Linked DNA regions of Oryzias latipes. The main gene of each other region encodes a partner of the protein of the gene in region 2 in a complex. Links are inferred from orthologs where the notes say so. Each region holds a gene or a part of one and is shown on either strand. Other genes may lie near its edges.

The links.
Region 1: the proteins of srrt (region 2) and ncbp2 are in contact, whole or in part, in a cryo-EM structure (PDB 8PMP), measured with the Homo sapiens proteins. The link is inferred for Oryzias latipes from reciprocal best matches to the Homo sapiens genes SRRT and NCBP2. Residues at the interface, in NP_056992.4 of Homo sapiens: Asp857, Arg859, Ala860, Ile861, Val862, Glu863, Tyr864, Arg865, Ala869, Asp874; in NP_031388.2 of Homo sapiens: Ser48, Phe49, Tyr50, Thr51, Thr52, Glu53, Gln55, Lys67, Met71, Leu73, Met76, Lys77, Lys78, Thr79, Ala80, Tyr89, Asp107, Glu121.

What each region holds. Positions count from the first base shown.
Region 1 is NC_019862.2:17,994,074-17,998,399, reverse strand, and holds ncbp2 (nuclear cap-binding protein subunit 2), read right to left. Parts: upstream 3,043-4,326; 5' UTR 2,950-3,042; coding exon 2,875-2,949; intron 2,220-2,874; coding exon 2,133-2,219; intron 1,980-2,132; coding exon 1,885-1,979; intron 1,389-1,884; coding exon 1,250-1,388; intron 1,135-1,249; coding exon 1,036-1,134; 3' UTR 381-1,035; downstream 1-380. UniProt on the Homo sapiens protein: Component of the cap-binding complex (CBC), which binds co-transcriptionally to the 5' cap of pre-mRNAs and is involved in various processes such as pre-mRNA splicing, translation regulation, nonsense-mediated mRNA decay, RNA-mediated gene silencing (RNAi) by microRNAs (miRNAs) and mRNA export.
Region 2 is NC_019872.2:15,813,670-15,817,490, forward strand, and holds part of srrt (serrate RNA effector molecule homolog), read right to left. Parts: intron 3,774-3,821; coding exon 3,585-3,773; intron 2,370-3,584; coding exon 2,200-2,369; intron 735-2,199; coding exon 556-734; intron 483-555; coding exon 372-482; intron 285-371; coding exon 131-284; intron 44-130; coding exon 1-43. UniProt on the Homo sapiens protein: Acts as a mediator between the cap-binding complex (CBC) and the primary microRNAs (miRNAs) processing machinery during cell proliferation.

The DNA.
Region 1 (4,326 bases), on a different chromosome or scaffold from region 2:
TTATTAGAGGGGAAAACAAAAATGGAACTTTTGGCACATGGTTGGTGTGAAGAAAACTATAACTAAATGTTAGGTAGGATGACTTTTTTAAAGGTTAATCCATGTGAAAAACAGGAGAACTAACAACAGCTTTAAGAAAATTGTAAAAAGTCAACTTCTCTTAAAAAGAAAATCATCAAAAAAAGCAAAATTTCTTTTAGCATAGACTTAAATGATGCATCCTCATTTACATAAAGGAGATTGCAGCAAATATTTAAGTAATGTTAATAGCATACTGTTTTCAGACCTTTATAAAATTCATTACGTGGATTATAATATTCAATGAATTTTTTCATTTATTATCCATTTTGTATGATCAAAAGCTTTACAAATAAAACTGACAGTTTAATTAAATGTGTTTATTGTATAAAAAGTCTACAGAGACAAAATAAATTTAACATTTTGAATTCTTACCACAAGAGAAAAACAAACACAAAAAACCCACCCAATTAAACAAAGCTATAACTTTGTTAGAGAATTGCAATCAGAAGGGTAAAAAATAAAAAAGGAAACAGAAAAAAAACATTTCTTCAAAATAATTCACTGGATAATTTATTATCTACTGAACAAAAAAGTCTGGTATGACCCTTTATATTTCTTTAATTCCAAATAAGAGAAATAGGAGTGAGATGCTGCAGGTTTTTCAATTTAGAGAAAATGTTAACTGCACTCAAAAAGAATCATAAAACAATTTTAGAAAATAGTTTTGTAACTAACTGGTGACAAAAAAAAGAGTTAATAAAAGCTCCACCCCAGTAATGCACATTCACTACACCTAAACAAAATGTCTCAATTGTTAAGAAAAACAACAACATTCTATTTCAAATGGATTTGACTGATGATATCAGATTGAAATAAATGGTATTCATAGAAGATTTATTCCTTCTCTGTTCATCTCCAAGTCCTAGATCTCTTTGGACACTGCCTGCTTTTTGTTGATCATCAGGGAATAAATTCAGTCCTGTATGAAGTCCAATCAAAACACTCAGACTTGGTCTAAAAAGTATTGCGAGCTTCTGTGCTCCGCTGTTGCTGCGCCAGCTTCCCATAGCCTCCTCTGGCAGGATCGTAGTCCTGCCTGTACTCATCTCTCACCTACACAAAAACAGAGACAACAATCAAACATTTTCATAGACGTATGTACTTTGTGACGCAAACTGCATCAACAAACACTTTTGGACTTTTCACAGACACTTTAACCATATCTCACCTGTCCTCCAGACTTTCCTCGCCCGTACTGCCGGCCCTCTTTGAAGCCAGCATCCCAATCTGTCCTGATGATGCGATCATCCAGCCGTGTGCCATTAACGAAGCGCATGGCGTTTTCTGCATCTCCTCGTGTGTAATATCTGGCACGCCAGCAGTTAAATCCTTTCTAACAAAAGCTTCAGTCGGCTTGGGCTGCACTGGGATGTTACTGTCGGCTTCTTAATAAGTTTGATAGATTTCATGCAAAACAATTTCTACATTTAAACAGTTCTAAGGTATGTAATAAAACTAAGTTTGTACTCTGTAACCACAAGCAAAAACACTTTAGAGTGAACATTAACAGAATACCTACTATAACTGTAGTTAAGGTTTAAATTACTATACTCGCTGTGTGTTTTACAAACTCATTAGAGCCTAAATGGTGTAAATGTAGATACCTATGGAGCTTTGCCAAAATGATGAAGAAAAGTAACTGCCACAACACAAATCATGAGGTCTTAATTATTTAAAAGATGACAAAAATATTTATCAAATAATGTAAGTCATATGTTATTTAGGGAGATGGAATCACAAAATGTACATTTTTACCTTTGCATAGAAGATAAATCATCCATGTCTGGTTGTTCAAAAGGATACTCTACAAAGCAGAAGCCACAGGCAGTTTTTTTGACTTTATCAAGGCCGATGATGATCCTCTTAACATCTCCGCATTTAGCAAACAACTCATGAACCTGTTAAAAAGTCACCAAAGGAAAGAAATTAATTTTAAAAAAAAAAGACTTAAGACGTGAAAAAAAAAAAAAAAAAATTGACCTAATTATTTCATTACCAGGACTGGAGATCATAACTTCACATCAGTCTGAAGCAGAGTTGAAGAATCTCACCTGCTCCTCAGTGGTGTAGAAGGACAGATTCCCCACATACAAAGTGTTGCTCTGTTTCAGCAGCTTCTCCTGTTCATAACGGTTCCCCTAATACCGAACAAGCAATGAAAAATTGTCAACACTTGACAATTAATAGACATTTGGCACGAAAAAAATACAACACCTTTTTATTTCACCTCCTTTATTTCTTTAAGCTATAAATCAACCTGTGTAAGGCATTTTAAAAGTGGAAGGTTAAAATAAATAAATCTAATCTATAAATTTATTGCCCATTCGAAATGTTAACTATAGATTTTATTTTCTTGGGTCTTCTTGTGCTGCTGCCTCTTGTTGTCCACGTAGCACCCTTTTTTTATTTTTAAATATTTTTAAGATTCATTTATAAAAGGTTCTATATCTTCTAAAGCTTGATTTGAATTAAAGTAAAATTATGCATCCATCAAAACAACGAAAATAACGAACGAAACAGAAAAATAATTGTTTCAGTGTAGCAAAAGCTTTATTATTTTTATATTGAATTTGGACTAAGAAACAGCAATGCAAGCAATTAAAACGCGGTGTAATTAAGAGAATAACATGTTTGTTTTGTAACTTTACTAAAGCGATTGACAAGGAGCAAAATTATTGGTGCAATCAATTTAATTTTAAAATGAAGCATAACCGCGCTTTTGTTTTCACATGTTTTGCTAGCTTGATGGGTCTAAAACAACTCATATGACTTCTACGTTCATTTCTCACTTACCTTAAAATGTTGGTCCCTATACTGACTAACTTCAATGTAAGAATCGCTGTGTAAAGCGTTTAATTTAACAGACATTATGATGCAAACGGTCAAAAAGCCGCGTAACTGCTAACCAGTGTTAGCGTGAGAGGTATCAGTTCCGGTTGTGCGCTCGTTTATTGACTCCGGGTGGATATTTGACCTGGACATCTGACAGTCTTTGTTGTTGGAAACATAATTTTAAATACGATGAGTTATTGGTGATGCTCTTTTTCTACTCATGCTTTTAACTTTGTGATTAAAGGAAATATCTTTAACTTTGTTTTTCCTGTTATTGATAGATTTATTGCTTTCTTCTTTTGGGCGTTTTGTTCAGTTTTGCCTGGGTTATAGTTGTCACGTTTGTTCAAAGTTTGAAATAAATAAAAGCTCAAGCCTCATAAAAATTGGCGAGGAACTTAAAAAAAAGTATTTTCTGTTGTATGAAGATGGCACTTACAAAAGTCTATTTTTAGGTTAGTATATGTTGCCAATTACAAAAATGTAAAAACCTTATATTTCAAATGTTTGGATATCTTTCTTCTTTAAAATAAAATCACCAGCTTTTAAATCTGAATTGATATTTGCTTTACAGGTTTTTCTTTACTCTTTTAGAAAATATTGTAAAGTTTCTGAGATTCATTCAGAAACCTTTATGCAAAGCTATTCCATCTCAAGGGCACACAGAATTGCACCATCTTTGCATAGTATTGCACTGCAATACTCCAGCTGCAGACTATATGTGAAACGTGGAACCATGCTATTGGCTGCAGCCTGATTACAACAGTTTATTCTGTTCTGTCTTACTTTTTTCACATTTTTTTTAAATGTACATTAGATAAATGTTAGTATTTAAAACTGTTACTCATCCTTCTTGACTTTAACAGTTCTACTATATGCAAAATGCCTACTAACTGTCCAGAAGAGAAAACTTTTAGTCTTGTGCACAGATTTATCACATCTGTTTCTTGCTTTTGACTTCTGACACATTTAAACATTCAAAGTTCAAAAATTAATACATTGCAAAAAAAAAAAGAAAAAAGAAACAATTTAAACACAGGGTGGCATTTTATTTTTTGGAACAAAGTGAACACAAATGTTCCCCCCTAATCTGTTCCACTGATTCACTTTCATTGATTTAATGTAAATTTAACTACCTAAACAAATCAGAAATGTATTAGAGTTTGCATCAAAGAAATAAGAAATTAAGAATAACGTTGCTCAAAAGCAGGACAGTTCTTTAGAAAAGATGAACCCAGCTGCTGGCTGACAGTTTGCTACATAGCAAGTCCAAAACATGATCAGCTCATAATAAAGAGTTGTGGTTCTGCTGAGAAGTCTTGACTTGTATGTCAGTTTCCATCATGGTCTCCTTAATGCAACAGCAGCACCTGGAACCGGAAGACAAAACCAGAATAAATGAAAACAGTGGAA
Region 2 (3,821 bases):
TCTTCCTTCCTGTCCTCTTCAGAGTTCTCCTTTGGCTTCTCATCTTAACCATAAAAACAATAAATGGTTCTAGAGAACTTTGTATTCACATTGAGAAGTCATATCAGGCAGCGTACATGCTCTTCCTCACCTTCACCCTCATCTTCCTCCACATCCTTGTCCTGGAGCTCTTCTTTCTTCACAGATTTGTCTGAGCAGTTGGAGATGGAGTCTGAGTCAGAGTCGCTCTCTGAGGGGCTGGCTTCATCATCGCTGTCTCCACTGCGCTTTCGCTTTCTTCTCGCCTACCAAAAGCGAGGAGAGCCGTCAGTCAGTCAGTCAGTCAGTGTTGCTCTGCCGTTCATTTCCTCTGGAGTAATTGTAAAAAGAACCTTTTTTGGTAAAGGCATTTCCTCTTTCACAGCTTCCTTCACTGATTCGTTCTTCAAGTCCTCCCCGTTTCCAGAAGCCTCCCGGTCTGTGCCGACAAAGTCATTCTCCTCCTGGTGAACAACTTCATCTTTAACAAAAGAAATATCAGAACCTTATTAGCTTACTAAAAGAATAAACTCCGACCTTTTCAGTTTTGTCCTTCTCTACAGGTTTGCCCTCTCCACTCAATTTAACATCCTCTCTCTTTGAGAGCTGATCTCCCACTGAAGCAGGGGCCGACTTCTCTTTGTTCTCTTCCTCCTCAGACGGCATGTCCAGGATGCGGAGGTCGTGATCCGTCCCTCCTTCCATTTTTATCACAGCTAAGGACACAACAAGGAAGAGGATGTGTGTGGTTATAGTTGTACAAAGACAGGGGAATCTAGTATTTAATCAACAAAATAAGACCCATTTAAGTAGAGATCCTTACATAGAACTGTAGAAAGTTTTAAAAAAATAAAGATGAAACAGCCTAAAATTAGATTCAATTACTCAGAAAAGTAATGCGCTATAACCCTTTAACTGCCTGCTCAAACAAACTGTGAAGCACTTTTAGAAAACATTAAACACGTTGATTGTGTGGATTACTCTCTCTGGCAATAAGCAGCAAAAAATATTAAAATTGATTTTGTCTTGGTTGGGTTGTTTAACTGTTAAGAAATAGAAATAAGAAGAATAACTGATGCAAATGATAAAAAAAACAAAACCTAATAATGTGGAAAGTTGCTTTAGTTCTAAAACACTGCAATGCAAAAACAAAAATTCATTCTTGCAAATACTTGATTCTAAAACATTTAAAAATGTTGCTAATATTTTATCCTAAAACATTACAATCGCTTTGATTATTCAGGAACCCCAATACATGTGCATGTAAGAAAAAATATCTGATCAATAAAATGATAGTTTTGCCTTTTAAAAACACAAACCTTCAGTGGCATCTAAATGACACGCATTCTGTCACGTTTAAACCGCTGTCATAATCAGAAAAATCACAATCCAATGTTCCTTTGTTTATCGCAGGAGTTAGGTTCTAGAAGTAACCCGCTGTTGGTGAAATCCACAAAGTAGATTTACAAATCTTTTAAGGCTGTCAAACTCCTCACTGCACACTTTATACACTTTTCTACATAGAAAAATACGCCCAGATTTATAGAATAAAATAGATCTGATCAAAATTGAAGATTTATGCAACTCTGGCAAGCTCAACATATTCTGTACAGGAGACAGCAAACTCAGTGCTCTGTAAAAAAAAAAAAAAAAAAAAGCATCCAAGGTGAACCGCACAATAGCGAGAGAAAATTGTACAGTTAAGAAAGACTTATATTTTAACATATTCATAGTGTTTTTGAATGGCGTATAAAGCTTACTTTAAAGTAATTAAGATAAACTATTAAAAACATAATCAAATCTCATCCTCTTTTTTTGTAAACAAAATTCAAATGTATCGACTTTGTTGTAAGACGTATGTTTCCAGAATTGTTTACTTATGTTTTTTCGCAACCAAATCTTTTTTCTTTTCTTCAAACGATTAAGAAAGCTCCTTTCCACCTCTATCCAGGCTTATTTGTGTGCAGCAGCCTTCGTGAATAAAGCTTGTGGACATACAATTGTAAGGAAGAGTAATTCCAAAAAGGTTTACTTTAGTAACTTGTAAGCCCACTTTTCAAATTTCCTGAACTTTAACTGAAGAAAAGCAAATAAAAGTGGAGCAGAGACAGAAAAGGTTGGCATCGCTATGTAGAAAAGCCTCAACTCCACATGTAGCTGTAATCCTCCCTGAGCTCTCACCAGCATCCAAAACTCTGATGATGACCGGGGATTGCTCAATGTCCAGGGAAACATGATCGAACCAGCCGTTCTCCATCAGGAAGGTGAAAACATTCAGACGGTTGTGTAAGGCACTGCGAGCCTCCGCCTTCAGCCGGCTGGCCTCATCTGGGTGATATTTGGACCTAAACCTGTGCATGGAGGACGGGAGGTCCACAGAGGAGTGGGAATGAAATGATAGGGGGTCAGAAAAACAGGGTTGAATTTTCTTTTTTAATCAATAAAAATTGTAAAAAAATAAAAAAAATATATCAAGCCTGAAAGGGCATCAAAAAATAAAATGTTAAATTATTTTGTTAGGTTTTCAACACATATTTGAAATAACATTGATTGATTTTAAGGAGAAATATTTTTTTAATTAACTTGACATCCATGTTAAACTATAATTTTAACCCTTTACAATGACGAAAATTACTTCAATTGAGAGTCTGAGATTAACTCACCAAATCATAAAAGAAAAAACGACAACAGAAATGATAAAAAAATGTAAGCACTTGCATATTCATGTCACATTAAAAATGTTAATCATTGAGTGAACCACAGTTACCTGTTGCTCTGCCAGTTTATTAACAAATAAATAAAAAGAGGTGGGGTTTCTTCTGTGAAAATGCGCTCCACTTCACCCCAGAGGTGTGCCTGAATACACACAAATTCGCTTTTGGGTTCTGATTCGATCCGAATATAAAAAGAAAACAGCGAAGAAAAAAAATCCTCTATATGCAGAGGACAGGTTGGCTGTCTATCTAGAATCCCTGATACTGTGTGTCTAGGAGCAACTGCATTGTGCGCAGTGCCGGCCCTTGCTATCTAAAAGCGACTCCTGCGGATGAGTTCCAGTTTTGCTCATCTTGAAAAAAACCGTCGTCAACGTGGATGTGGAATTGAAGAAGAATGGGTTAAGTCAAAACAGAACAAATTTGCATGATACCTGCGAAATAAGTGTAGTAAGCATTAACAAGCAGAATAAAACATTGAATTGTGTTTAAAAAACAAAAAAGCATTAAAAAAATCAACTCAAAAACAAACTATTTACACAAATCTACACAAAAATTAATCCGCACAGAAGTCTGATTACATTTTTCAAAAACATTGCTAAAGGTAATAAAATAGAATGTGGGTTGGTTTTCTTTTTCTTGATGCATAAATGCAACAAGAAATAGCTAAAATAGTTCTGTACCTCATACTGAAATTGTTCTTCATTAAAAACTTTAAAATGAATGATTGTTCTAACTTCTATATTGAAAAATCTGGTGTTTGGCCTATTCAGTCTGATCCAATCCTCGTGTACGGCTGATACACAGAAGAATCAATACATCACTGTGTGGAAAAAGCAACAAAGACCGTACCACTCTTCATCTTTATGAGCCAGAAAGAAGTCCTGCATCTGCTGTCGGCGAAAGTCAACTTTGTACTCATTGTACCGCTTGACTGCCTCCGTTTCATCTACAGAGTCATCCAGGGACAGCAGAAACTCCTTAAAGCTCTTCATTATTGGAGGGGGAGGACCCAAGTCCATCTCATGGATGCTACCAAGCCTGAGAGAAATGGGATAAGAGGAACTTTAGCTGTGATTAAGACAATTT